Arabidopsis thaliana: one gene and its partners. The protein of the gene in region 4 purifies or fractionates together with the protein of the main gene of each other region. This does not show direct contact. Each region holds a gene or a part of one and is shown on either strand. Other genes may lie near its edges.

The links.
Region 1: the proteins of AT1G18540 (region 4) and AT3G13930 fractionate together in Arabidopsis thaliana (co-fractionation; one large-scale study listed by BioGRID). This does not show direct contact.
Region 2: the proteins of AT1G18540 (region 4) and AT2G40010 fractionate together in Arabidopsis thaliana (co-fractionation; one large-scale study listed by BioGRID). This does not show direct contact.
Region 3: the proteins of AT1G18540 (region 4) and AT1G77940 fractionate together in Arabidopsis thaliana (co-fractionation; one large-scale study listed by BioGRID). This does not show direct contact.

Annotation. Positions count from the first base shown.
Region 1 is NC_003074.8:4,593,362-4,602,811, reverse strand, and holds AT3G13930 (Dihydrolipoamide acetyltransferase, long form protein), read right to left. Parts: upstream 7,046-9,450; 5' UTR 6,778-7,045; intron 6,615-6,777; 5' UTR 6,573-6,614; coding exon 6,540-6,572; intron 6,152-6,539; coding exon 6,058-6,151; intron 5,789-6,057; coding exon 5,724-5,788; intron 5,628-5,723; coding exon 5,542-5,627; intron 5,450-5,541; coding exon 5,409-5,449; intron 5,228-5,408; coding exon 5,172-5,227; intron 5,088-5,171; coding exon 5,013-5,087; intron 4,930-5,012; coding exon 4,837-4,929; intron 4,655-4,836; coding exon 4,415-4,654; intron 4,325-4,414; coding exon 4,252-4,324; intron 4,145-4,251; coding exon 4,044-4,144; intron 3,916-4,043; coding exon 3,830-3,915; intron 3,757-3,829; coding exon 3,681-3,756; intron 3,597-3,680; coding exon 3,529-3,596; intron 3,442-3,528; coding exon 3,375-3,441; intron 3,285-3,374; coding exon 3,189-3,284; intron 3,110-3,188; coding exon 3,007-3,109; intron 2,919-3,006; coding exon 2,823-2,918; intron 2,740-2,822; and 3 more. Other genes in the region: AT3G13940 (DNA binding / DNA-directed RNA polymerase), read left to right, coding at 400-861, 996-1,133, 1,280-1,594, 1,752-2,165; EIF4A1 (eukaryotic translation initiation factor 4A1), read left to right, coding at 8,555-8,565, 8,683-8,751, 8,836-8,939, 9,030-9,450. UniProt on the Arabidopsis thaliana protein: The pyruvate dehydrogenase complex catalyzes the overall conversion of pyruvate to acetyl-CoA and CO(2).
Region 2 is NC_003071.7:16,706,480-16,713,799, reverse strand, and holds AT2G40010 (Ribosomal protein L10 family protein), read left to right. Parts: upstream 1-3,027; 5' UTR 3,028-3,351; coding exon 3,352-3,609; intron 3,610-3,718; coding exon 3,719-3,787; intron 3,788-4,236; exon of another isoform or gene 4,237-4,513; coding exon 4,514-5,005; exon of another isoform or gene 5,006-5,087; coding exon 5,088-5,222; 3' UTR 5,223-5,421; downstream 5,422-7,320. Other genes in the region: AT2G40020 (Nucleolar histone methyltransferase-related protein), read right to left, coding at 947-1,203, 1,291-1,435, 1,608-1,805, 1,900-2,037. UniProt on the Arabidopsis thaliana protein: Ribosomal protein P0 is the functional equivalent of E.coli protein L10.
Region 3 is NC_003070.9:29,301,490-29,307,835, reverse strand, and holds AT1G77940 (Ribosomal protein L7Ae/L30e/S12e/Gadd45 family protein), read left to right. Parts: upstream 1-2,424; 5' UTR 2,425-2,547; coding exon 2,548-2,568; intron 2,569-2,677; coding exon 2,678-2,783; intron 2,784-2,872; coding exon 2,873-2,974; intron 2,975-3,523; coding exon 3,524-3,592; intron 3,593-3,679; coding exon 3,680-3,720; 3' UTR 3,721-3,972; downstream 3,973-6,346. Other genes in the region: AGL67 (AGAMOUS-like 67), read right to left, coding at 623-807; AT1G77932 (FANTASTIC four protein, putative (DUF3049)), read left to right, coding at 4,495-4,827; AT1G77930 (Chaperone DnaJ-domain superfamily protein), read right to left, coding at 5,369-5,587, 5,673-5,810, 5,898-6,037, 6,117-6,191.
Region 4 is NC_003070.9:6,374,257-6,380,950, reverse strand, and holds AT1G18540 (Ribosomal protein L6 family protein), read left to right. Parts: upstream 1-2,370; 5' UTR 2,371-2,402; coding exon 2,403-2,659; intron 2,660-2,868; coding exon 2,869-2,975; intron 2,976-3,063; coding exon 3,064-3,245; intron 3,246-3,347; coding exon 3,348-3,503; 3' UTR 3,504-3,694; coding exon of another isoform or gene 3,695-4,168; 3' UTR 4,169-4,312; downstream 4,313-6,694. Other genes in the region: AT1G18530 (EF hand calcium-binding protein family), read right to left, coding at 3,695-4,168; TET11 (tetraspanin11), read right to left, coding at 4,773-5,081, 5,394-5,900.

The DNA of each region.
Region 1 (9,450 bases), on a different chromosome or scaffold from region 4:
GAAGGTTATGTGGCCAAAGCTTTAAAGAAGAGTTTAGATACTTTGGAGGTAGATCAATGTAAATTGGGATCTTTGCAAACAGCGTGTGTTTGTTTTCTAAGTTTCAGGCGAACTACGTGTCGTTTTAGCTAAGAGAAAAAGCCAGGGTTTAGATTCCGTAGTCCGTAGACGTCGTTATAACGGTGTAGATCTTTCTAAACAAATTAAAAGTTTGGGGTCAAAAAAAAAAACTGTGAAGATTTCTTTATCGACTCGGACAAACAACAAGGGTCTGTTATGTAATAAATTCCCGAAACATAACCAAATTAGGGTTTAAGCATTTAGTGAGTTTCCAGTAAACCCTTCTCTGAATCGCTGCCGCTTCTTCGATAGACTAAAAGAATCCAAACCTCAGTAGCCATGGAAGGCGAAGAGAAGAATGATTATAGAAACGAGGAAGAAGATTTCAATACACCACAACAACTACAAAAGAAGCAAAGGAAAGGGAAAAAAATAGCAACGGAAACAGAGGATGAAAACGAAGAAGACAAGAGAGTTACTCTCAAAGTCACGCAAGTCGCCGAGAGACCCGATAGAATCTCTCCGATCGTCGCCTATTTCTCTACAGGATACGATCCTTGTAAAGTAGATCCAAAAACAGGCAAGAGAGTTCATGAAACTCCCAAGGTTACTGTTTACAAGCATAAGGATGATTCTAAGAAGAGGATTCAGGTTGTTGTAAGTCCTCCAGGCGCAAGAGTTGAGTTCGTCGGAACTAATTACACAGGCGAGCAAGCTGCTATGCAGACGAATACTTATAGAGTTGGTGTTTTTAATAGAGAGGCTAAAACTTTGAGGATTCTTCCTGTTGCTCACAATAAGGTTTAAATTCTGTTACCTTGTTTTGATTTTGGTGATTAATTGGTTTGAATTAGTTGGAATGTTTTGAGTGTATGGTTGTGAATAGAAAAGAAATGATTTTTGAGAGTTTGAGTTTGGTTTTGTGTTACTTGTAGATAATCAGATTGGAGCCTAGAGTTAAAGCTCAAGAAACAAATGAGGAAGAAGCTTCAGGAAGTGCTGTCGTCAAAGAACTTGAAGAACTAAAAACAGGAGAACGCGATCGTTATAATACAAAAAAAGCTGTTACTCGGGTATGTTACTACAGCATCTGAAAACACCAATTCTACTGTTTCCTACAGTATCTGTCTTATTGGTATCCAGACTAGTAGAGAACTGATTGTCGTGAGATTCGTTGGGAGGATTATATGTCTGAGTGAGAATGTGTGTCTCTATGCAGGATAAGAAGAAGCGTGCCTTATATATGGGAGATGATGCTGCGACTCAGAAGGTCCTTGATGGGAAACTAAGTGAGTTAGGTGTTAACACAGCTGCTCTTGAAGGCACCAGTTCTACTGTTGCACGCAACATTCCTCCTTACAATACCGCTGCAACGACTGCAAATGAAGCTTATCCCTTAGAAAAGATCATTGAAAAGGGGGATTGGAGTTTTCTTGAAGATATTTACTGGCTTCTGCAACAGGAAACTGAAGCAGCAACTGAGGCTTACCCTGTATTTGTCCGCAACAGATTGTACAGATTGCGAGATATCAAGGTAAAATTATGACTATTTTCTTGGATGCAAAATATTTTATGTTAGCTTGCACCACTTTCGCGGTTTGCTCTGATTAAATGGATTCTGAACTTCTCATGGTTTTATCTACTGCTCAGAAGATTCTTTATGTATGTATGTCATTTTGTTACATATGCAGGACGATATGAAAAAGCAGACGGTTTGTGGTGCTGCAACGCTTCTCACCCATCTGGTTAAGTTCAAGGACAGAAACTCAATGAATGGTTACGATTCCGCTAAAGACCACAAGATGCCAGACATCTTCCGTCAAAAATTCAACAGCATGTTCAAGGATTCTGAATCAGATAGGATACCTGTTGACAAGATCAACCTTCTGATAAGCTACGTTCTTGTGCTATCCCTTCACGTGGATAATTTCATGACCGATCCAGAAGACATAGCAAAAGATCTGAGGATAAGCACAGTTGAGCTGAGGAAACATTTTCTACAGCTTGGCTGCAAATTCCTGAAGCAGAATTCTACTACGGTTGCTACCTTACCGACCCCTCTCAATTTCCCGGAGGTTAACCGGAGGCGCAGGGCACGAAAGTGATGACGATCTAGGAGAAGATTTTGTTCTATCTTTACATATTTTCTGCTATTTTAATGATATTTCTTTGACGGTCTGTTGAGATATTATAAATTGTTTTAGTTCCTAAGACATCTGTTTCTTGGGTTTAATGATATATGATGTTTTGGCATTTAAGCAAGCAAACTGCTCTAAGTCCATGATAGTGAACTAAGTGACATTTTATTAGAAGAAAGAGATATTTATTGGAGTTGATTAATAAAATTAAGTAAATGGGTTTTATTTTGCCAACCCATGATGAACAAGCATTAAGCCAAAAAACAAGTGCACAGTGAAATTGTTGGATTCCTGATTTTATTTTGAGACAAAAATCTGTCAACTCAATGATTTAAAGAATAGCAAAACACTCAACTTTAAAGGCCATTGCCTACTGCTGATCAAATCTGGTAGAATATGTTGTGGGAAAGAAATTTGAGGTCAGAAGACTCTTATGAGTTTAGCTTTTGATGTGTGTGTGCGTCTGAATTTTAGAGCAACATAGATTCTGGGGTCTCGATGTAGCCCTTGAATGCTTTCAGCCACTCGGCTCCAATTGCACCTGCACAGGAAGATGACTTATTAGACGTTTTCGATGAGGTGATGATTAATAATGACAATAGGAATGAGAGGCGGATTCTGTACCATCTATTACGCGGTGGTCACAGCTTAGTGTTACAGACATGTATGAAGCAACGTTGTATTGGTCTGGACCAGTACCGGGAACAACTCTCTTTTCAGCTGTTTTGAGATTCAGACACCAACACTATAATAAGTTACGCGGAAGAAACTTCAACGGATAAAGTGGATGAGTATGCTAAGGACTTACCAGATCCGATTGCTAGAATGGCTGCTTGAGGTGGATTGATGACGGCACAGAACTGTTTGATGCCAAAAGGTCCCCCCAGGTTGGAGACTGTGAATGTTCCTCCCTGTCAGAAGAAACAGTTTGAGCTGATTTGCTTTCACAGCAGTATTATGCTAGTGAGATTGACCGAATTCTAAACCAACCTCATAATCTTCCGGCTTCAAGCTGTTTTCTTTTGCTTTTTGAGCCAAGAATCGAACCTCTTCTCCAATTGTAGACAGTCCTTTCTTGTCCGCGTCCTGAAATCAAGCAATTAGATGAACTGAGTTTTTCAGAAATCTCAAGTTTCTGCAGAGGAAGGTTAATAACTGTATCAAGAGCTCCCTAACCTTGACCACAGGAACGTAGAGCCCATTTTCTGTTTGTACAGCGACATTGATGTTCACATTTTTAAATCTGTACATAAAAGGAGGAAAATAAGAACCAAGAAACTAGATGATTTGCAAAGTTTTCATGAACCTCTGAAACAGAATATGTACTTACTGGCGGATGTATTCATCTGTCCATGAACTATTGCACTGAGGAACTTTTCGAAGAGCCAGTGCAGCAGCCTGCAATTTCGAAAAAGAAAAGGTTTCATAATGGAGAACAAAATGAGATTTAATTAGACTTGCAAGAAAAGAAGTAAGATGCACCTTAATAACAAGATCATTTACAGATATCCTTTTCCCACCGGAAGCCTCTTGAAATGAATTGAGTTGACTCCTAAGACTGCATATAAAAATAGCTATGTTTAGCATCCACTTACCTAATCAAAATATATGATCTAAAACTTAATACTTACCCCATCATTTTGTCAACACATGTATCCACGGTCAAGTAGTAGTGAGGAATAGTTTGCTTTGAGAATGCCAAACGTGAGGCTGTGACCTGTCAAATTTATACAATTAACAAAACTTCGGAATTCTTGGCTTATAGTACAAAACAGAGAGATATATGGTCGAGGTAATCTAGAAATACCACAAGCAATCAAGATATAAGGTTGTATAGGTATTTGCCTTTCGTATCTGAGTGTGAGGGATGTCAACATAGTCAAGAGCTGGAACCTTTGAATCCACTTGCTTGGAAGGTTTGGCAGTAGTTTCTTTACTGCCTGAAGCTGTACCATAGGAAGATGTATTAGAAATTTAGAACATAGGGATGAGGTAAATTCTGTAACGAGAGGGGAAAATGTAAGAAGAGGGAAGAGCCAAGGATTTCTGATACCTAAGAAATCTTCGACATCAGCCTTCACTATCCGTCCTTCAGGACCTGTGCCTTTAATGCTTGAGAGAGGTACCTAATGTTTTTCAAAGGAAAAGTAGGAAAAACAAATTAGAGATGGAGATCTAACACGAGCTTAACTAATATTTTTCGTCTGGAAACTGACATTATTATCTTCAGCCAACTTTCTTGCAAGAGGACTGGCAAAAATACGATCTTCTGAAGGAGCTGAGCTTGGCTTAGAGATCTTGGCTTCAGGAGCACTGGCTGGCTTCTCTACCTTCTCTTCCTTTGGTAGGGAAGGAGCTGGTTTTGCTTCAGGCGCAGCGGGACCAGTATCGGATGAGGGTGTGTAATCTTTAAACTTTTGAATATCATCTTCATCTTCAACTGTGATAGCAATCACCTAGTTGGACAAAAAAAAAAGGGACCATTTATATGTGATTCTACAAATGAAGATAAAGATCTTTGTCATTTTTATTGAATATTCATTGATCTTCAACTAAAGGGAGCATAGGGCTCACAATCAAATACTTCATGAGAACCCATTATAATTAACAAGTCTCCAAAAGTCAGAAACTCTCATACCTCCCCAACTTGAATTTCTTTTGCCCCCTCCTCCTTTACTATCTTGGCGAGAAAACCCTCTTCCATGCATTCCATTTCGACTGTTGCTTTGTCCTAAAATATTAAGATTGAGATAAGTGTTTTATTCCTGGCATAAGAATCAATACAGGAAGAGATTCAATCAGGATTATCATTACAGTTTCAACTTCACAAAGCACTTCACCAGGAGCAACTTTATCACCTTCTTTCTTCAGCCACCTGGCAATGTTACCCTGAAGTTTCAACAGATATCTTTAGTAGAATGATAAAACAATAAACCATGTTAATTTTCGTAAGAGGTATTCAGAGGTACATGCCTCAGTCATTGTTGGCGAAAGAGAAGGCATTCCAATCTCTTGATGAGGAGGAAGATCTGAAACATATTTTAAAAAGTTATCAGTAAAACAAACCATGTATGCTGCATATACACAGTGACAGAAATATGATGGCCGCAAAAGGCACAAAAACCAAGTCAGATGCTCACAAAAAAAAGTACAATTCAAGTGAAAATATATGTTAGAACAAGCGGGAAGTTACAATAAAGAACTAAATACCTGAACTGGATGAAAATCCTCTCACTGATCGCATCTGGGAGCTAAAAGCAAGAAAAGAAGCTTACAGTTAGGATAGAAGTATTCATACAGGAAGGTAGCAAGTTGTATTCTCATCGGTAAATGGATTACATACCTTATAAATTCTTTAAATAGTTTTGGTCCTGCCATTGGGCTGCTTAGTTTTGTGCTCGTTGTTGAAATACCACTAAGCATTGTTACCTATATAATGCAGCTAATGACATTACGACCAAAAAAACACAGACGATTACGTGACAAAGCAAAGACGAGAAAGGAAACTGAACAGCAGGGACTTACATTGCCAGTACCACATTTTGAAATTCTCTCTACAGAGGAATAATTCAGGCGGGCCTTGAAGATATCTGAAGACCAAATAAAAATAGAAAAATAAATGCTTAAGCGAGAAGCATAATATATACTCAAAACATACCAACTTTCAATTAATTAAAGTTGGAACGTTGTTATGTTCTTCATGTTGAAAACGATGTGAAAGTCAAACTTGGACTATTCATCCCAGAGTACTGTGTGGTGCTTGTTACCGTATCAAATAAAAGAAACCACCACACATTTCTACATAAAATGAACTTAAGGATAGCAATGAAGAGGACACTAAGAAAGCTGACTGGATTACCTTCTCTTCCAACGAGAGAGGGGTGGGTACTGTTGGAGAAACAGCGGACTGCCACAGCATGGTCACGCCGCAGTAAAGCGGAAACATGTTTCAACTGGTCAGATAACACAACAATCGTCAAAATAGTGTTTACAAAGAGCAACATACAATTACTCTGCTGTAAAAGTAGAGTCTTCTTGTACTAATAAAATGAATAGCTAATACCACAATTGAATCATAAAGCGAAGCTACTACATTAATCACAATTCAGATTACAAGGAGGTTACTAAAGCTCTCAATAGCAAAATGCAGAATTGCCCATGATCAAATTAAAAATACCAAATTCATGATTAGATTAAGTCAAACCCGGAAAACGAACCTCAGTTCAGAAAAAAATGATTGGCAGAGCAAAACACATAAGAACGAATGCATAAACTCAGTTTTACAAGATCAAAAATGGTAGTCAAACCACAGAAAAAAATGAAAAATAGAGAAAGAGAAACCTTTTTGGAATGATTGATGATACGAGAAGCCATTGTTGTGCAATCGGAGCTGCGTCAGCCGATCCGAATTCGCAACTGCAAATAACAAAAAAAATGGTGGGAATGTTTGTTAGGGGGTTTCTCCTTTTTCCCTCGGCAACTATATCAGAGATCGAGATCGATGAATTTGACTTGTACTCAATCCAATTTTGAAACAGTAAATATGTGGATGGAAGATAGGATTCGATCTAGAACTCACCAAGAGTCAGAAGAACGGTAAATCGCAGTATAGAGAGTGAAGGATCACTTGGAAGAAAGCTGGGATTTGATGATGATGATGAAGATAGTTTTGTGTTTAGGTTTTTCAGAAATGGCAAAATGCTGCCTTACATGTACCAGATTGTATCGTACCAACACCAATTCTACCATAACCGATATAAAAGTATTTAAACCGACTAATTAAGCTTCACAAATTTCGGTTTGTACTTTATTATATTGGGCCCTATTATTATTCTCTGAGCTTTTGCGTCTCACCAAAAGACAGAGATCATCAGGTGCGTTAGTGATTACGTAGGCATCTAATGAACGGCAGGGATTAGTCAAACTTATTAATGGGCCTAATCTTTGGCCCATCGTTTTCCCTCGATTCCTGTCACACAAAAAACTCCTAGCTCTTCCTCTACCTACACAAGCTAAATACATATTTTTTGCTTATCCTAAGCATCATGATTATGTTTTGCCCTCTCCAGCTTTTTCTTCAATGGCAACAGATTCTAAGAAAGTCTCTTGAGGCTAAAATCAAAGCATTTTTTGTTGAAGATAGATAGCAACTTGCTGCTTCTTCATACTAGCTAGTTACCTTCTTCTTACTCAATGTGTTTTGCTTCGTTTCAAGGATTCTTCATATCACTTGTGGAACAATTACATGATTAAACATTCAACATAGAGAGATAGATGTGTTAATAAGTAAAGACATTTTCAGATAAAACGTTCTTATCAGTCACTTTATTCTTCTAATATCCTCGTTGTAATCGGGAAAATGCTTTGTAACGTCAAAAAGCAATAAAAGTTGCAGGAGAAAGAAAGCTTTGGAAAAGAAAATAAAATAAATGAAGAATATTTTCTTTGCTAGTCACAAAATAAATGAAGAATTTATGTTCCTAATTTCCCACTAGATATTTGTTTATTTATTTTTGCCAAAATCAAGTTAAGACAATGAGCTAAGTGTTGGAAAACCTTGTCCGAGCCAAAAGAGTAAAAAGAAAGGGAATAAAGGGGTAAAACCGGAAATCCGAAAAAGAAAAGGAGAAGATTTCCAAAGGAGAAAACCCTAAAGACGGAGTATATAAACAAGGTAACGCGTTTTCTCTCAGCCTCTTTCGGATATTCCACCAGTCTCTCGCAATCTTCGCTCTTCTCTTTGCTCTCTCTCTCTCAACGCGGTTCAGATCCGAGTTTGGGAGATTCAAGCTCCCTGAAAAAAGCCCTTTACTCTCGCTTACCAACTTTGCTCCAGGTTCGCATCCTATCGGATTGTCTATCTATTATCTCGATGTAACTTTTACGATTCATGATTGTTTCTTTACTTTTGGATTGTTCTGATTTGTTTTTTTGTGTTTTCCGATAGATTTGGTTTCAACTTTGTTGAGTTGATTTGGAAGTTTTGATTTTTCGTTACTTCAAGATCGTTTTTTTTGCTGTGGAAGTGCTTTCGTTTTTGTTCTCTTTATTAGATTCTGAGCTGCTGATGATGACGATTATTAAATTTAGGATCTACACATCTGTAGATTTGTTGATGGGTTTGTAGATTTTGTTACGGCTAGGTTAGTCTCTCAATAGAATGAAATGAATCGTCTTCAAAGCTCAGATGTTCTTGTCTTAACACTCACTTGGTTTTGTCTGATTGAATGTTTTTTTTTGTAATTTGGAGAAATAGGTTGAGTGGTGTCTATGTTTAATAGATAACCATATGTGCCTTTATACATTTTCTCCGCACATCATCTGAGGCAGATATTAATGCTTGTTTTCCTCTCTTTATGGACTTCGAGTTTGGCTTTCTTGTCACATTTCCTCCTTTGCAATCATATTATTAACGATATCAAAATAGGTGTTGTCTCTCTTCCTTTTGATATGAAATCTGATTGTTTTTGTTCTTTTTATGTAGCATGGCAGGATCTGCACCAGAAGGCACACAGTTTGATGCACGTCAGTTTGACCAGAAACTCAATGAAGTGTGAGTCTTTTTACTTCTGTTTTTTCATTCTTGAGTGTGTTCTCTCCGCATGCTCTAGCTGCTAATTGTACTGTATTGATACAGACTTGAGGGACAAGATGAGTTCTTCACATCCTATGATGATGTTCATGAGAGCTTTGATGCCATGGGTCTTCAAGAGAACCTTCTCAGGGGTATTTATGCTTATGGTATGTGTGTAGGAACTTGAAAAAGCTATCTTTTGTGATTTATGTCTTAGATTAGAACATTATCTCATGCGTGCTTCTGTTTTTTCTTAGGTTTTGAGAAGCCTTCTGCTATTCAGCAAAGAGGAATCGTCCCCTTCTGTAAGGGTCTTGATGTGATTCAACAGGCTCAGTCTGGTACTGGGAAAACAGCAACTTTCTGCTCTGGTGTCTTGCAGCAGCTGGACTTCTCCCTTATCCAGTGTCAGGCTTTGGTTCTAGCTCCAACTAGAGAGCTTGCTCAGCAAATTGAGAAGGTCATGAGGGCCCTTGGTGATTACCTTGGTGTCAAGGTTCACGCCTGTGTTGGTGGAACCAGTGTCCGTGAGGATCAGCGCATCCTCCAAGCTGGTGTCCATGTTGTTGTTGGAACTCCAGGGCGTGTCTTTGACATGTTGAAGAGGCAGTCTCTTCGTGCTGACAACATCAAGATGTTTGTTCTCGATGAAGCTGATGAAATGCTCTCCCGTGGTTT
Region 2 (7,320 bases), on a different chromosome or scaffold from region 4:
ATGAAAGGAACAATGTTTTCAAGAGATAAACTTCGTTTTTATCCGAAAGAACGGTAACCAATGCTCATATCAATTTATAATGAAAACATGGAGAAGGTTAACAATAACTCTTTTTCTTCATTTATATAATTTTGTTTACACATAAATGAAGAACATGAGTATAAATTTAGGAAAATATTTTGTAAATAAAAAGTAAAGGGTAACTCCAAAATGAAGTGACAGATGATATCATACCATATTCATCACTCCCTTTTAGAGTTGAGAATATAGTGGTATTAAAAGGATTTTTTCTAAATTAGTATTTAGAGTGAAATTTGGAATATAATTGGAGATGCACTTATTGGCTCATGGATTTAAAAAGGGAACAAAATTGCATCAATTTCTTTCTATTCAGGAGGAATTAAGTGGAAAAAAATTTCATTCCATTTATTGTAAAAGTTAGCAAAAGTTGTAACCAAACGAAATACAATATGCTTCCTCTCTCAAACTTTTCCGCTGATGTGTAAAATACAAGTCAAGCTATACTTGCATTTAAGTTTATATGTACAAAAAAAAGTTTATATGTACAAATCAAAAATCAAAAGAATATGAAGTACCGGTTGATATTGGTTCTTGCATTTAGAAGGTATAATTGCAATTAAACCGACTTTCAGATTTGGTCTAACTTTTAGACTGGCTATTCAATTTACTTTAGAGGGATTTGGTTTCCACTTTCGACATTGATCTTTGGATAAGTGGGTTCGGGTACTATTGTATGACTCATACAACTACTGATAAAGACTATCTGCTTTCTCTACTCCATCACAAATTATTAAAAACCAATATCTCAAGAGATGTTAAGATGGGTCGTTTTACCTTTTTTCACCACAATACTATAGCTTACTACTACTATTTGGCTTCCTAACATATATATCAATTTGCTACTTACAGGAGCTCCATAGCTCCTTTACTTGTCCCACCTCATCTCTTTCTTCCTCCTCTTCTGTCCACGTACTTCCCTGAGAAGCTCTTGAAGTTCTTCACAAAGAGGTTCTGGAGTAAGCTGAATGATCTCATCATCATCACCATCACTATCCTCCTCTGGCTCCGTCTCCTTCTCCTTTGGATCCTCTGGCTCGGTCTCCTTCTCCTCTGGATCCGTTTCCTCCTCAGGATCCGTCTCCTCCTCATCAATTAGCCATCCACAATGAAGATTCTCCACACCTAATCAATTATTTTGACCGCAGTAAAAGAATGTTTCATTTCTTATGTTGAGATTGGTATGGATATGAGTAAAAAAGCTTTTATTACCTCGAACAGAACTTTGTGCATAATCTGATGATGCTTCTCCCAAATGAATAGCTGCTGGTGATGGGTCATTGACTGCTTCGCTATTGATTGATAACTCATCAGCTTGGTCTCTTCCATACTCAATATGCATGTCCTGCTCCTGCTCCTGTATTACAAAAGATGGATCATGCTGCAAGTTACATACCATTTGGGTAAACCAAGTTCAAGAATTCTGTCAATGGTTTCTAATAATGCCAGCAAAACGAATCCCAACAATGGAAGCAACAGATTTGTGAACCTGCACAGAAAGAGAACGAGAAGGAAGAAAAACAAATCACCTTCTCTTCTTCGTGTATTTCCACAGCCAATTGATTGGGTTGTTCTTCCTCAGCCATCTCTTCATTGTGATTCTCAGGCAATTGGTTGGCTTGTACTTCAGCCAATTGTTTCTCTTTTTCCTCTTGCTTTTCAAGGCAGATAGCAAGGAGGGGACCATAGCTATCATCTTCAATCAAAAACCATTGGTCTTCGTAGACCTGAAATCCAAAGTGGGTAAAACGTTATTTTCAAGTTGCAAGGAAAATGTTATCAACAACGGAAAAATGGAGACCCTAAAACTAGCGAACAAACCTCTAACAGTTCCTTAATACTCTCACTGATAACATGCTCATGAAACCCAAATCCTCTCATGCGATCTCGTGCTGCATCCTCTCGCATCAATCCAGCCTTCTGCAAAAAAGCAAAAGAAAAGTAGCAATTTAAAAGCATAGAAAAGAGAGATAATCATAGAAGGAAAAAAACAAGAACACCCATCATAAAAAGAAGTATTTGTAAACTTATCTCATCAGTGTTCTCAACGTTGAGTACACAGAAGTCGTAGAGAGAAACAAAATGTTAACTTCAACAATCATGTCATTCAAATACTTCATCTATATAGTCATTCTACTCTAATGTCTATGTCTATGCTTTTATCTTAGTTTTCCACTATACTCTCTAAAAACTATATGATTCAAAAGCTCATATCTTTACTTGTTAGCCAGCATTTTAATTTGGAAAAACAAAACAAAAAAAACAGTACAGCTTATACCTTTCTTCTTCCTCTGGGAGCCATTTGTTGATCCCTCACAATTCCCTGTAGTTTCAGAAGAAATTGGAGGACCAAAAGTATAAGTCTTTGGGTTATAATCAAACAAACAAACAAAGGCAACCAAACAAGTGATCCCTTTTTTCAAACCTATGTAACAACAAAATCAACGAAAGATGAAACAAAACAAAAGTTGAGCTCTTTCCCAAAAATCCCGAATCAGTAACACTAGAGATAAACCAAAAATACCCTAAAATTCAAACCCAAATGAAACCTAAACAGAATCACAACAAAACACAAAAACACGAACTTAATTTTGCTACAGAGATGACAATGTGCTGAGCTGTTTCGTTCAGATTCGATAGGGAAAGAGAGTACTTACGGCGGAGAAGATAAAATCGGCGGCGACTGTGGAAGGTTTCTTAAGAATAAGCCGTGGATCGCCTCCTCGTCTCCCAAAAATGCTTCTTTGAATGAAATCGAATTAAAAAAATAATATAGTATTTGTTTGGGTCAACCATTTTCTCTGTTAAGTCAACCATTTTCTTATTGGTTACTATAAAAAATAATAAAGTATGAATTACAATGAATGGATCTCAGTTGGGCTTGAGATGTGGGTCGAAAGAGCTTTTAGCCCAATAGGAAAAAGATTCATAATGTTAAACATGTTGGGCAATATTGGCCCATCCCATTGATACTACTACAAATAATATAAGCCGTTAGATTTAGGTCATCCCACAAACCCTGACCGTTCATCCTTCCGTCTTCCGATAACTATATAAACCCAAGAAACTTCTTCTTCAACCTTAAGCAAATTCTTACGCAGCTTTTTTTCTTTCTCTCTTCCTTCCTCTGTTAAAAACAGTTACAGAGGTTAAAGAGACAGCGCCAATTCGCGCTGTCCACCTTGTACGAGCTCCAAGCTTCGTCTAGGCCCTCCATTTTCTCTACCCCAAAATTTAGTTTCTTTAGTCTCACTTTATCATTTTTAAGTGGAAATGGCGGTGAAAGCAACAAAGGCGGAGAAGAAGATCGTTTACGATTCAAAGCTTTGTCAGCTTTTGAATGAGTACTCTCAGATTCTTGTCGTTGCAGCTGACAATGTTGGATCAACTCAGCTTCAGAACATAAGGAAAGGTTTACGAGGTGATTCAGTTGTTTTGATGGGGAAGAACACAATGATGAAGAGATCTGTGAGGATTCATGCTGATAAAACTGGCAATCAAGCTTTCCTCAGTCTCCTTCCTCTTCTTCAGGTTTCATTTCTCTTGTCTTGAATAGTTTGTTTTCATTTGGATATAAAGTATTGATTTTTTGGTTTTGTGGAGAATTTGATTTGGTTTGGTGTTAGAATCTATTTAACAGGGGAATGTTGGGTTGATCTTCACTAAGGGTGACTTGAAGGAAGTCAGTGAAGAGGTTGCTAAGTACAAGGTTTGTTTCTTTGGCTCAATTGATGTTATTGTTGTTGTTAAGCTTTAGTAGAGTTCAAATATGGATTGATAGCTTGGAAAGTGAAAGTTTGTATTTTTGAGTTTGAAATGAAATCATATGTGTTCTTGCTTAAAATGCAGCCACATTCTAATTGAGATTATTATGATTCGTTGAGCTTTGAGGAGATTACATTTTCATTGATTGGTTTATTACTTAGTTTGGTTAGTTTTATGCTGTATCTGATTATCTCTAAGTAAGCAAGAATGCAAGGTGTTGTATTATTCGATTTTAAACACAAATGCAAACTTTCACTTTCCAAGCAAATAGGGTTGATTAGATTATAGTACTAGTTATTTTGGTTCATTGAGGTTTGAGGAGACGACATTTGTAGTTTCTGTTTTGTGTTTTGATTGATTGGTTTATTTTTAGCTTCTACTGTTACTTGATGATTTAGTCAGTTTATGATCATCCTTTAACCTATGGCTTTAGGTTATTAACTTGTAAGGTGGATAGGTGATAAAGTTTGCATTTTGGTTTAAATTGGAACTCAAAACCTCTATTTTCTGTCTTGAAACGCAACCACATTCAAGAAACTTACTTGAGAGTCTACTAGTTTCCTAGGCTCACATTTTTGTAGCGTCCTTTCATGTTGTTGGATTGATTGATTTTTTCAACTTAGTCTTGTACTGTTAATTGATGAGAAATTCATTGTCCTTTTTTTGACAGGTTGGAGCTCCTGCTCGTGTAGGTTTAGTCGCTCCAATTGATGTGGTCGTGCAACCAGGCAACACTGGTCTTGACCCTTCACAGACCTCCTTCTTCCAGGTGCTTAACATTCCAACCAAAATCAACAAAGGTACGGTTGAGATCATAACCCCTGTGGAGCTCATCAAGAAAGGCGACAAAGTCGGTTCATCCGAGGCTGCGCTTCTTGCCAAGCTTGGAATCAGGCCCTTTTCGTATGGTCTCGTTGTTGAGTCAGTCTACGATAATGGGTCAGTGTTTAACCCTGAAGTGCTTAACCTCACTGAAGACGACCTTGTTGAGAAGTTTGCAGCTGGTGTCTCGATGATCACTGCGCTTTCTCTTGCAATCTCTTACCCAACCGTAGCAGCTGCGCCTCACATGTTCCTCAATGCTTACAAGAACGTTCTTGCTGTTGCCTTAGCTACTGAGTACTCTTTCCCTCAGGCTGAGAATGTGAAGGAGTTCCTAAAGGTTTGTCCTCTTTCATTTTGCGTTTCAGATATTGGGATTAGTAGTCATGAAATTGTTTGTTAACTGTACATTTATGGATCAGGATCCAACCAAGTTTGCAGTTGCAGTGGCTGCACCGGTTTCAGGAGAGTCTGGTGGAGCAGTGGTGGCAGTAGCTGTTGAGGAAGAAGCTGCAGAAGAGTCTGATGGGGACATGGGATTTGATCTGTTCGGTTAAAATACACCGTCTTATCTTTTGCCAGCCTTTCCTATTTATTTTATGGACCTTTAAAACTTTCACGTTCAGAATTTCTTTGTTACGTTTATGGATATTTTGTTTCTTCATCAAAACTACCTTTCTGGTTTTAATTTCTCTCCGTTGAGGAATTTTCTGAACCCAATTATATTGGTTAACAATGTCATTGTCTGATTCTGTCAGTAACTACGCAAATGAGTATATTTCATCTTCTTCAGTAAAGGTTTCAATAGCTCAAACAGACAATACTCCAGCAACTATGACAGGAACATATCCAACATATAACAAGTTTGGTTAGTTTCAGCTATATAACCAAAAGCACAGTCTACTTTACATAATATTTCAGATTTTACTTCATAGAATATATGTTTCATTCCTTCACTTATCTTCTTTCTTTCGTCGCGCATAGCAACTATGTTGGTTGGTGTGTAGATCTATCTTTAAAAGGTTGCAGCCTTGCTTAGTCCAAATGATGGTTTGATTTTGAAGTGCCAAACCTCACCTATAACAAACTTTCTGAATTATATTATTTTATTATCTATTTATATCATATTATATACTATCTGAATTATACTACAAACTTTCCTTAGATACATATCACAAAATATCATCAAATTATTAAAAACTCTTTTAGAAAATTGCATAGCCTATCCTCATAATAAAATCAGATTATAATTTAAATCAAGTGTTACGTTAATTTATAAACTGTTTAAAGAAGAAATAAAGGGGTTAAGCATGCCTTGTTCTCTGGTAGAAGCACAAACATGCTTTTGTTGATAATTGTCAGAAAAAAACAAGTAAAGTCTATAAGAAAATGGATCAGACTCATTCGAGGCATTCCCATGAGACGAAGAAACATAAGCGTGTGGGAATTGCGGAGTTAAAGGTTGAATATGTCGTGTCTATTATAATAATCAGAATTTAAAAGAAAAAAGAATGAGGAATGTGTTGCTTGATTAACGTCAATTAAGTTAGCTTTTGTATATTTTAGAAGAAAAAAAATGAATATCGGGGCTTTTAGTGGATAAGGACTTTCCTCTACGATACGTTTTTGCGATGACATAAGTATTATTCCAAGTTGTATCCATTTTCGTGCACACGTAAAAGTCAAAAAAAGAGTCCGACATAGGAGAAGAAATGGAAGATGTTTCCATGTTCCCAAACGGATATACATCAAAGTTGTTACGACTTTTTAAAAATAGCGGATATATAGCCACAAACGTCATTGTTCTCTAGTACGAGATTTTTCACAGTTTTAAACTTATTATGTGTATGGAGAGATCACATGGATTGACGAAATATGGTTACCGTCGAAAGAATGTCCCATCAAAGAATTTTATAAGTTTATTAGAGTTTGATCTCATCCACATGCATAATTTGATATTATCTTTCTCATTCCGGCATTTATTGAGGAATTTAGGCAGAGTGATGTGTTCCCATACCAAACTTTATCCGAATCATGCCATCTTAGTATCTTACAAGTTAAACTATAACTAAAAAACAGGATATACTGAAAATCAATACAATTACCAAGGAAATAAAAAAAATACCACTGTAATTGATTGTTCAGGTATCGTTGTCTGTTAAAGTCGTCTTCTAGTATATTGTATTTTCGATTGAGTTTAAACAATTAAATAATGTTTTAGTGAGGCTCAACCAAAATCTTTAAGGCTTCACATAAAAATTAAACTGAGATTTTGGTTTGGGCATGTACCTTCTGGTTCTGGAGTACAAGCCCTTTTTTCCTTAACACCCAAATTAATTATTGTTAATCATTTATTTATTATATTTGGTTTTTGATTTGAAAAGGAATGGATAATGGATAAATGGTCGGATAATGCGGCCGGAGACATGCTTCATTCCGAGGAAACCTGTTTTTGATAGCTCAACCTTTGTTGACTCTATCTCCCTCCTACTTTCTTTTATTTTTATGATTTCAATTTTCATAACCATAATCATGAGTTTATACACAAACAAGAATATAACTAAAACACCTTTTGTTTTCCCATTGATACAATTATATAAAGTAAAGAAATACTATTACACAACTTTATTTTATTTAAACGAATCCGATGAAGCA
Region 3 (6,346 bases), about 23 Mb from region 4:
GGAAAGCTAATATAACACTTGATTTTGTGGTGTTTTCTAATGATTTTTTTTTGTTTATTTTGTAACAAATTGACAACAAAAATTAAAGATTGTTTGCGGACTGTTTCTTTATTTTTTAAGTTCCGGGGCTATTTACAAAGTATTTCGGAACTTTCTCTATTTACCGAAAACATCCGATACCTTTACTATTTACTAAATAACCCCGAACTCTGTTGTTATTTATAGAAAAGCGCAGCAGCGATTTTTTCTATTTACATAAGAAATCCTGAAACTCTTACTATTTTTGAAATGTTCTGCAACTTTTATATACTAAAATCTTCAGTAATATGTAAAAACGTGTCAACCCTCAGTTGCACCTCTAATACTGAATAACAAAGCAGTGGGGGAAAAAATCAAAATTACTACGTAGTACAAAAAATACAGATCCACTATTCGGTGGCTTCCACCAACAATTTTTTTTTTGATAAAAAGAATATATGGCTTGTCCGTTTTGTCTTTTAATCAAATGATATGGACAGTACATGTATATGCAAAACATGGTTACACTTTAATTAAGATGAAAAAGCCTAAGGAGAAGATTCTAGAAGAGCATGGAACGTTCTAGAAGAAGAAATGGACATACCTTGTTTGACCGGAAAAGAGACATAGTCGATCAGAGGGAGAGAACATGAGGAGGGCAAGATCGATGTCACAAAGTGTTGACAATTCATAAGCCTTTTTTATTAAACCTTTTTTACGTTTTGAGAACGTAATTTGTCGGTTCGTGCTCTTCTCTATACGCTTTAACTCCAATTTAACCCGACCCATATCCGATGGTCACTGCAAAATAATCAAAACACAATCTATTATTAGTTGGCACGAGAGAAATTGATCGAATGCAAAATTGTATATTTAAGTAAATGAGTCGACGAAAGGAGAGTTTTTAGGTTTGTGTTAAGAGAGAGAGAGAGAGAGAGAGAGAGAGAGAGAGAGAGAGTTACAAATGGTGAGCGGATAGAATTTTTGATCTTAATTTAGACGAATCTGCCATATGGCTAGGTACATCCCTTACATTTATACTCATTTTATATAATATTTGTAAAAATGTAGTTTACTCTTATTATATAACCAAGTGTTGTTACTTAAAACTTTAACCCAAAAAAAAGATGTATTTTATTCAATGTTCATATTTAACATTATAGGTTTCTTGGCACTTGCCTAAAGGCTCATATATACGTGGGTGCGTATGCGTATGGATAATATATATAGTAAATACATCAAACACATATATATTTCCTAGTCTGCCTCTAATTTTTATATATAGCTTGTTCTAGCTAGTGTGATTTGTACATTGTATATACACTGTGTGTTTTCTCTTCTGTGAAATTAAAGACTCAAACCTTATGTGTTTTCTCTTTTTGTCAATAACATGTACATGTGTTTGAATTTATTGGTAACCCAACAAAACAAGCACAATCCATTACACATTATAATGGTGTGTATGAGATATTAGATGGTGTAAGAGAGACATGATGGGTATACATATAGCGAGTGAAGTTGAAGCTTATAACGAAGGTGCCTCTCGATGAAGGAGCTTCAAAAGGAAGCAAATTAGGTTAGGGCTCTATGGAATAATTCTTGATGTTACCATATATTTTATAGAAATATTGTACATGACGACCACCTGGTCTCAGTTTACGACACGTGGGGGATTTGTTTGTTTGTGTTGTCTCGGTCGTTGTTGTTACGTGCCGACAAGGGGAATGATATTAACATAGAGGGGGAAAAAAGAGAGAGATCTTCAATGTGAAGTTTGCTCTGTGTATATAAATATTTTTACATCTTTCGACTTATTCTATTAATTCTTCAAATCATAATAAAAATTAAACCACTTTTGATTACTTGTTTCTTAATTTCCAAGATAATTAATTATAATTTATCTATTAATATTTGTCTACCAAAATCTAACACTTAAAATTAGCAATTTATCTTAATTAAATAAATATTGTTAAACTTTGTCTTTTGTCACACTAGTCATAACTGAGATTGATCAGTTCGTTCCATTTCTATAGAATTCAACTTATACGTTGAATCCGATAGAAAGAAAATAGAAAAGTAATTTGAATTTTTTTTCATCCACAAACAAAACTTGTTGAAACTTGAAACATTGAATAATCTAATAAAAGTATAAAAAAAAATATAAAAAATATATGTTTACCAATTATCCAATTTATTTCTGCATATTTTGTAAATTAAAAAGTAATTCAAATACGTTTCATGTCGACAAAATGTTGAATGTACAAGTGGTTTATGCTAATTTAATCACTGTCAATTCACTGAAACGAATAAATCGAGTAATTACTTTTTTAATTGACAAATTACAAAACTATAGAAACATTAAGGGCATAATTGAAATTTCCAATAAATTGAAGAGCAAAAACCCTAGAAAATTGACACGGACTATAAAAAGGTGACGAAGCGGCGCTTTTTCGGTTTGGTCATCGTGCTCCTCTTCTCCTCCACCGCACAGATCCAAGACATTTTGATTACACTCCATCGCCGGCGAAAATGGTGACGGAAAAGAAAACGGTGCGCCTTATTCTCTCCCATCAAAGTTTTATCCCTTTTCCTCATCATCTAGATATCGTTTACGATCTCAATGTACTAATATGTTTCTGGGTTTATTGCTTAATTGCAGAAGAAGTCTCATGAGGGTATCAACAGTAGGTTGGCTCTTGTTATGAAGAGTGGTAAATACACTCTTGGTTACAAGTCTGTTCTCAAATCCCTCCGTGGCTCCAAAGGTAATTGCGTCGAACACTTGGTCTGCATACCTAAATGTTTTAGCTTTTTGTAGTTTGTTATTGATTCTGGTTTTTGCTTATGTTCACAGGGAAACTGATTCTAATCTCCACCAATTGCCCACCGTTGAGAAGATCAGAGATTGAGTACTACGCAATGCTCGCTAAAGTTGGTGTCCACCATTACAATGGAAGTAAGTTCCTTTCTTCTTTAGCTCGTCCAGTTTTTAAAGATTCATTGTTCTCTTGTTTTTGTGAAGGTTTTCATTGTGTATAATAACTGAGAATGTATAATCTTAAGTAGATGAAAGTGTTAAAATCTGCTTCTATAGACCATTAAACTGATGATGGAAGTATGATCTCAAGTCGAAGAAACTGTAATGTATATTGACGTGAAGTCTTGATCTTTCGCAAGTTCACGATCGGTTTGAACTGCTGTTGGTGTCTCTGTATGTGGTTATTGCAAATATTGACATGGTTCATAATACCAAAGATTGCTCTGTTGGTCTATGATTTCGCATTGTTAGATTTTGACTCTTAGACAAAACTTGATCTTGCTCGATGATAATACTCGAAGGAGCGTTTTAATACATTATCTTGATGATTTCATCAAAGAAAGTAGATGAATGTTTATTCTATTGAACATAGTTTCATGTTTCAACGCTCATTCATCGGTTATTCCTCTTGTATCTACCACTTTGGCTTAACTGTGTTTTTCTTCTCTCCTTGTTAATGGCTTTCAGATAACGTTGATTTGGGAACAGCTTGCGGAAAGTACTTCCGTGTTTCTTGTCTGAGCATTGTTGATCCTGGTAAAAGAGCTAGCTACTTGCTTATATATTGCTGCTGGTTCTTCATTGATAGATCTACTAATGATTTTGTCTTTCGACTTGTTTCAGGTGATTCTGACATTATCAAGTCAATTCCTGGTGACCAGTGATACAATTTTCAGATTTTATTTTTCCCAGACTTTTTACCCGTCTTTGTATTCGAGTCTCTCAAAATTTTATGAGCAATAGACATTGTGTTTCTTCTTTGTCAAGTTTTCTTATATTGAGGACCGGAAAAGAAATTTCTTTAAAAGCAGCTTACAACACAAGTTTACGCATTTTCTCATCATGGTTCTTGAAAATAAGCCAATAAGTTTGTTTGACAGGAAGGTCGCTTACTACTGAAAACGATCAAATACAAATTACTCCTTTTTCTAAACCTAATACTGGTTTGATTGTAGTCACAATCATGTTAGTTTGAATCTGGATAGTAACGTAGTAGAGACATGTGTGTCATGGTTTTATTATAGTATTTGATTAGTACGGATATGATCATCCAAAAAAGGGGCATGTGTCAAAATACACATCTGACAAAAATGGAGACAAATAAACCATTGTTTTTGTTCAGTTGTTGTTGTCAAGGTGTATAGTTATTCATTTGGTGAAACAAAGTTATTCTTGTTTTGGTCATTTTATCCATTTAACTAATGGATAGATATTCACATGTGTTTCTGTATTTCTTTCCTCTTTTTACGTATTTCTTTCTCTGTATACATCGTTTAGTTTCTCATAAAGAAAACTTCCAAAATGTAAGTAAAAGAATGGATGAATCTAACTCCTATTTAACTCAACCTCACTAACTCGATCTATAGACACAGAGAGAGCTTTCAAAATTTGGTAACATCGCTCTCAGTTCTCACTACCAAGAAAACTCGACCATCGTGATGTCATCTCTCTCCTACAACGGAGGCTACATTGGAAAAGAGAGCTGCTTCAACGCTTTCTCCGACAAGACCGGTGATGTCAAGTTGCCATGTGAGAGAAGAGAGGAGAAAAAGACAGTGGCGCGTGAGATAATGTCACCTCCAATGTTGCCGTCGCACGTGCCGTCGGTGCTGAAGCGAGAGTACACGAGTGATGGTCGGCTTTTACTCAAGGAAGAGAAAGTGTGTCGCAACGAGTATTTTCGAGCTCACAGATCCAACGGTCGTCTCATGATCCAGCTCGTCTCTCTTGATGAAGATGATGATCGGGATTCGGATGTTAAGAATTGTTGATGATCATCACTATCTTGAATGGAGGCAACTTTCTTTCTTGGAAGGCAAGTTACGTTGAAGTTTGAAGCCTTCAACATGTTTAACCTATTCACTAAAATATCATCAATGTTCTGATTTCTCAATCACCGTTCTGTTTAGTTTTGGTGGTTTCTTTTATTTTCATGTTCCTATAATCTCCGAAACTGAAAGAAAGTGGTTGTAATTTACCGGCTGAAATGGCTATTTGCCCAAATTAAGGTTTATAATATGATAATTATATTAAAGATTTGGGTATATGCCCTACTCATTGTTGCTCCGTCTGATTTGCTCTGCTTAGGTCTTCTTGGTCATTGCAATTGATGTTTCTCTGTTCTGTTTCTCAGGATGTATGTATTGGTACTTGTCTTATTTTTAATAATGAACCGTGCAGTGAAGATCTTGTAAATTGTCAAATATGATTATCTACATGTATGTTTATACTACAAGAGAGACAGAGAGGGAGCAAGTACCATGTGCTTAATTACTTGAAGTAGCTATAGAAGCTTCCAAAATGTTTGGAATCTTACTTTGCTGCTTCTTCCTCTTCTGCTTCGGTATCAAGCTCGAGACCTTCTGCTGCTAATAGCTGAGTGATGAGCTTTTTCTTATCTTCCTCTGCTTTCTTTCGCATCAGATCTCTTTTCTTCAACACTAGCGTGTGTCGCTTTAAAGTGCTGTTGAATAACTCTCTCGATGCTTTCTTCTCCTTCTCCAATATCTTCCTTTCTTCTTCCGGATCCACCTTAATAAGTTTCAAGATTCACAACAGAGCAGAAGAAAGTTACTAAGTTGGAAGAACAAGCTCAAAAAGACACATTATTTCTTACTTTAGAACGAGAAAGACGACGAGCACGCAGGTTTATATCAAGCTGTTGTTGCTCAGCCCAAGCGGCAACCGCCATGTCGCCCCTTTGATCAAAAGCTTTACGCTTTTTCATCAACCATTCCATCCAAGCTTGAGATGCCTACACAAACCCAACACATGTCATCCTTAAAACAATTTCAGAGGGAAAAAAGAAAACTTCAAGTTTATGACTCTTATATATACATACCTTCATCGGATTAACTCGGTTATCCATATCATATTGTACTTTCTTTTCCGAGTCCATGAGCAGCTCGTATGCAGCCTGAATCTTAATGAATCTTGCTTCTGCTGTCTCTCCTTCTTCAAGAGTCCCCTTTCCATCATAAACTAGACAAACAAAATACAGAATCAGAAACAGAGTTACAACTTTGTGACGACAAAGTGCTCTAAAGATCCAGAAAAGTACCATCAGGATGATAGAATTTGGCTAATCTTCTGTATGCTACCTTAATCTGTTCTTCCTCTGCATTTCTATCCAACTCTGTTACTCAAATTCATACAACATAGAACCATATCAGAAACACGAAACACAACACAAAGACTTCTTGTCAAATTCTTCTGACACAAGTCACAAACAGTAACCAAAACAACAGAACCACTCCAATGAATCGAATAGAATCACAAACTTGTGAATCA
Region 4 (6,694 bases):
AAACTACGCGGAAATATTCTAGTGGCTAAGGCGGGGTGTTTCCTCTCTGGGAATATGCCAAACTATTAGAGTTATTTTGAAAAATTATTCACCTCTCCCTAAACTGGGAAGCAATTCCTTATCGAATAAAGTTTCATTTTGGAAACATTAGAGTAGCGATGTTGCATTAAACCCATATAAGGCCCATTAGGTTTTATTTTTGCCGCTATCGTCCTTATATTTAAAAACTTTCGACTGTCAATTAGGGTTTACGCCACTAAGAGATGCTGGCGGCAAAACAGAGAACTCCCAAAATTAATATAGAAACTTTATTTTAAAATATATAATATATAAAATTTTGTATGTTGTAGCATGGGTCGAGATACATATGGTTTTATATGGTTTTAATTTATATAAAATAAAAAAACTGTACAAACCAATCGTAACCAAATCGAATTACATACAGTTTCTATATGGTTTTAGTTTTTATAAAACCAAAACTAAACCTAACCGAAACCAAACCAAACCAAAAAAATTGTACCCCTATCCCTATAACAAGTAAATATTTGTATTATGTATAGAATGATTAAAATTGTATTATAAAACAGACAATAATCCAACTTTAAATAAATATTTAAAAATTAATTTTTCTCCGTGCTAAACCAAAACAGATTATGATCTAGTGTATACTTTATGATTCTTTTTCTTATACTTACGTTTGGTGTCGTGTATTGTGTTTTTTAAAGCTATATAATACGTATAAGATATAATTGTAACTCTTACTTTATGTATTATATGATGATTCAAAACAATTTAAAAAGTTAAACAAATATGATAGAAAAGTCATAATTTTAAACTTTAATCAAATATTCTAAGTTTTAACTATGTATATTGTTAAATATGAAATATCCGGTGTAAGAGTTGGATTAAATATAACTTATCCAACAAAATTTTTATGAACAAAATTGTTTAACGGGATGGATACCATTTTTATCAAGAAAACACTTTTACTTACCCGCCAAATAGTAAGTACAAAAATACTTCATGTAAGGCCCAATGTTTTGCAATAAAAACACTTTGGTACTAAAAATATCGAGACCCCCATATTAAAGTTTTCTAAACCATATAAGGGCCCATTAGGTTTTTTATTTTCTGCTATCTAAAAGCTCAATTTAGGGTGTTTAGAGCTACAATGGATGGAGTTGAGGAAAGTTTACTTCGGATACCAAACTACGTCGGAAATATTCTAGTGGCTAAGGCGGGGTGTTTCCTCTCTAGGAAGATGCCAAACTATTGGAGTTAGTTTGAAAAATATTCACCTCTCCCTGAACTGGGAAGCAAATCCTTATCGAATGGAGTTTTCTTTTGGAAGCATTAGAGTAGCAGTGTTGAATTAAACCCATATAAGGCCCATTAGATTTTATTTTTGCCGGTATCGTCCTTATATTTAAAAGCTTTCGACTGTCAATTAGGGTTTACGCCACTAAGAGATGCCGACGGCAAAACAGAAAAATCCCAAAATTAATATATAAATTTTATTTTAAAATATATAATATATAAAATTTTGTATGTTGTAGCATGGGTCGAGATACATATGGTTTTATATGGTTTTAATTTATATAAAATAAAAAATTGTACAAACCAATCGTAACCAAATCGAATTACATATAGTTTCTATATGGTTTTAGTTTTTATAAAACCAAAACTAAACCTAACTGAAACCAAACCAAACCAAAAAAATCATACCCCTATCCCTATAACAAGTGAATATTTGTATTATGTATAGAATGATTAAAATTGTATTATAAAACAGACAATAATCCAACTTTAAATAAATATTTAAAAAATAAATTTTTCTCCGTGCTAAACAAATACAGATTATGATCTAGTGTATACTTTATGATTCTTTTTCTTATGCTTATGTTTGGTGTCGTGTATTGTGTTTTTTTAAAGCTATATAATACGTATAAGATATAATTGTAACTCTTATTTTATGTATTATATGATGATTCAAATCAATTTAAAAAGTTAAATAAATATGATAAAAAAGTCATAATTTTAAACTTTAATCAAATCTTCTAAGTTCTAATTATGTATATTGTTAAATATGAAATATCCGGTATAAGAATTGGATTAAATATAACTTATCCAACAAAATTTTTATGAACAAAATTGTTTAACGGGATAGATATCATTTTTATCAAAAAAACACTTTTACTTACCTGCCAAATAGTAAGTACAAAAATACTTCATTTAAAGCCCAATATTTTGCAATAACACACTTTTGCACTAGACCCCCATATGAAGCCCATATTAAAGTATTCTAGACCATAAGGGCCCATTAGGTTTTTACTTTCTGCTATATAAAAGCTCAATCTAGGGTTTATGTCTCTGATAGATTTTACACCACCGAAGCCGAAAAAATGCCGGCGGCGAAGAGGACTCCCAAGGTTAACCGTAACCCTGACCTAATCAGGGGAGTTGGAAAATATTCGAGGTCTCAGATGTACCACAAGAGAGGTTTGTGGGCTATCAAGGCCAAGAACGGTGGCGTTTTCCCTCGTCACGATGCTCAGCCAAAGGTCGACGCTCCGGTTGAGAAGCCTGCCAAGTTTTATCCGGCGGAAGACGTCAAGAAGCCGCTTGTTAACAGACGCAAGCCTAAGCCTACCAAGCTAAAGTATTTATCCATCTTCTTCTTCGATTGGTTTTTAATTTTCATTTGAGTTTGATTCCGCTAGATCTAGTATTAGAATGGTTTTGGATCTACTGGTGATATAAGAGAGACCATACAAATTGTTAGGATTTTTAGAAATGTAGGATTCCTAGAGATTATGGCTATGCTTCATTTTTGATATGAATATGGTTTTGTTTATCTCTGTGTTGCAGAGCCAGCATCACTCCAGGAACTGTGTTGATCATTCTTGCTGGTAGATTCAAGGGTAAGAGAGTTGTCTTCCTCAAGCAACTTTCTTCTGGTTTGCTTCTTGTAACAGGTGAACTCTTATCTCTCGATGGTGTTGGTTTGATTGTTCAATTTGGAACCTATGTTAATGTTTGTCTTTGTTGATTTGGTCATTTCAGGACCATTCAAGATTAATGGTGTTCCATTGAGACGTGTTAACCAAGCCTATGTGATTGGAACCTCCACAAAGATTGACATTTCTGGAGTCAACACTGAGAAATTCGATGACAAGTATTTTGGAAAGGTTGCTGAGAAGAAGAAGAAGAAAACAGAAGGCGAATTCTTCGAAGCTGAGAAAGAGGTATACAATCATCTTATGGATATTTGGTTTTATCCAAAAATGGTTATTATGTGTTTTCTTGTCTTTGTACCATTACCTAATTGAAAACTTTGGGTTGAACAGGAGAAGAAGGAGATCCCACAGGAGAAGAAGGAAGACCAGAAAACCGTTGATGCTGCTCTGATCAAATCCATTGAAGCTGTCCCAGAGCTCAAGGTTTACCTTGGAGCCAGGTTCTCATTGAGTCAAGGAATGAAACCACATGAGCTTGTTTTCTAGATTTCGTATTGTTTCTCAAATTTTAAGAATATCTGTTTCCCTGAGTATTTTCATCTTTAATCGTCCTTGGATCTTAAAGACTATTTTCTCTGATTTTATATATCAAATTTTCGAGCAATCTAGCTTTAAGACCTGGTGTTATGAATTCGATTTTCTATAAAAATGAATAAATGAAAAAGCATAAGAAATGATCACGAATTAATTTTTAATCCAAAGTAATCAACAGCAGATTTTGCCATAATTGAAGCAAACTCTCCAAAGCTTATAACACCATCACCATTTGTATCAGCTTCTTTGATCATCTCCGTTAATTCTTTATACGTTAATGGTTGACCCATCTTGGCCATTGCTCCTGCAAGCTCAGCCGCACTTATGAACCCGTTACCGTCTCTATCGAACGATTTGAAAATCTCGAGTAATTGCTCGGAATTGATTAGGACCTCTTCGTTAAGATCAGGAAGAATTGTACCAACGAGCTCATCGAATTCGACAAAACCGTTGCCGTTTGAGTCCATGCTAGCTAACAAAACATGGATTTGATCGCCGGAAGGTTTGAGACCGAGTGACCGGAGAAGTGCCGCGAGTTCTAAGATTGTTAAGCTTCCGTCTGCGTCCATGTCGAACCGGTCGAAAATGTCTTTAAGTTGTCTTATCTGATCCTCCATTTTTTCTTTCTTTCTTTAGCAACACAAATAAAAATCGATTAATCAATGTTGGCGACGAGAGAGATTGATGAGACAAGAGGTTATGATTGTCAATGAAGGGTGTGCCAGAAAGGAGATTTAAGATTGAAGTTTTGTTTCTTTTTGAGCACGTAGAATTTAGAATTCTGGATCTTTTCTATGTTTTAATGTTTTGTTTGTTCTTTTCTTTTTCGTTGGTTTGTTAATGGTTGCTGATAAAAATAGATAAGACCACATATTTTTTTTTTGTTTGAGTTAGATTGGTACTGCTATTGAAATGTGAAAATTCATAATGATTCTTTTTGCCTTTTTGGTAAAGAAAATCATATTGATTGTGGTGAAACAAAAACATGACATTGTCCTAAGAAACATAAAGATAATTAGAATTGTGACTAAATATGTGAAGCATAAGATTTAAAATAAAATTAAATGCCAATGGTTACGACTAGTGAAATGTGATAAATTCATGATAATTGTTGAGAAACAGAACATGACATTGTCCAAAGAAAACAAAAGATAATTAACTTAAAAAACCAAACAAACTAAGAAAACAGAAAAACACAAGAAACTGAAATTGAGTTGTTGATCAGACAGAATCACTTTTCCTAGCCGTCCGATTGTTACGACGAGCACAGCAACCGCAGGAATAGACGGTTATGAGGAGAATGAGGAGACAAATGTTGAAAACAAGAAGATTCCTCCACTTCTCTCTTATGTTCGCTAACACACCCGCTTTGCATGCGTTGCAGTTGAAACATAACTCTGTTTGCACGTTGCTCCACGTACCACAGTCCCCGTTTTCCGCAACTGCCGTTTCGTTTTTGCTCGGCGGTATCCAGAACGTCGCGTTTCTGAACTCGAAGTTGCAATCCGATGGTGGCTTACAACAACCTGACTGCTCATACACAATCAATACTTGAGTTACACAACCCATTATGAACAATAAATTTAACGGCTTAACATATAAGTGTTATCTTAGTTCGGCTAAAAATTGTCTTGCTTTTGTTACTATATGCAAAAACTTAACAATGAAATTTAATCATACTAAGAACGATGAAATGAACCTAGACTATTTTTTATTGATTTGTCTTTACATATATATATACTAAAGAAAGCAAAAGCTTTGATTGGTCTTCCCTTTACTATATTTATACAAAAATATCAACAAAGAAATATGTTCATACAGAAAATCGATCCAAAACAATACCTGGATGGGAGACAAGTTCTTGTGATAAAACGCATCAGCGATCTGACTAACACGACCATCACTCAAATCATCACAAACGTTAGCCTCAGCCAAACAAGACCTTATCCCAACCCATCTCTTCCCACCAACGAACCCATTAAGCCACGTCGAGAAATCCACCGTCCGGTACTCTTTATACCCTCGACCGGACACCACACGACCGGCTCCTTTGTTGGTCACAAAGAAGAGAAATATGGAGAAAATCATCAATGCAACAATGCCCCCAAACAATATGATCAAGTAGGAAACCATTGCCAAATTCTCCTTGAAACAAGATCCAATCACTCCGAGCAAAGACACCAAGAAGAGGATGAGTCCGGTCGTGAGAAGTGGTATCCGAATGGCAGATTCACAATCAGTGACGCCTTGGTGAACGAACATGTAAATCGAATAACCAATGGCCGAAGCGCCCACTAACATCACCAATGTGTTTGCTAGACCAACCATGAAATTGCTAACTCGAAACATTTTTGGAAATTTGCTTTCTCCAAATGATAAACTCGATTAACCTGATCGGATTTTAAATAGATACGGAGAGGGAGAGAGTGTTTTTTTGTTGTTGTTTGAATTTGATAATTATGTTTCGTAACGTTTTTAGTGTGTGTGTGTGTTTTTAAGTGTGTGGAGTCGTGGTTATTGGGGAAAGAGGGAAACGGTTGCTTTTTTGGTAGTGGGTTGATGATATTAGTGGAGATTATTAGCCATTGGTTTTAGAGATCGTGTGGGGGTTAAGAAGATCCTTTAGTTTAGAGGAAGTCGTTTAATTAGATTTTGACTAGGTCTTACTGCCACGTAACTAAGACTAATAATTAAACTGTCACTCGACTTTTTAAACATTGAATTTAATAAGAATTTATTGAGTACGAGATTGTTGGGAAAATTACATATAGGTTTATGTTAATTTTATTTTTAAATAAAAATGCATATTAATTCATATTTTTGTTACTTGGAAAAGGAAAAAACAAACTAAATAAGTAAATATATGAATAATAATATGTTGTGAAAAAACGTTTTTCAAGGATAAAACTCAAATTCGTGGGGGGTTTATAATATTCGTTAAGAATTGATGGAAGAAAATCCAAAAATTTATTATTGCATGGGTAAATAACACAACCATTTTATACCCTGGTGACATCTAGGAGATTTTCTTCTTATTTTGATCTTAACTTACAAGATTGATGAAATTAGTGGAATTCCAAAACGCATCTCACGTGACAAAATAACTACTTCTGGTGATAGCTCTGGTTTAGTCAGAATAGATT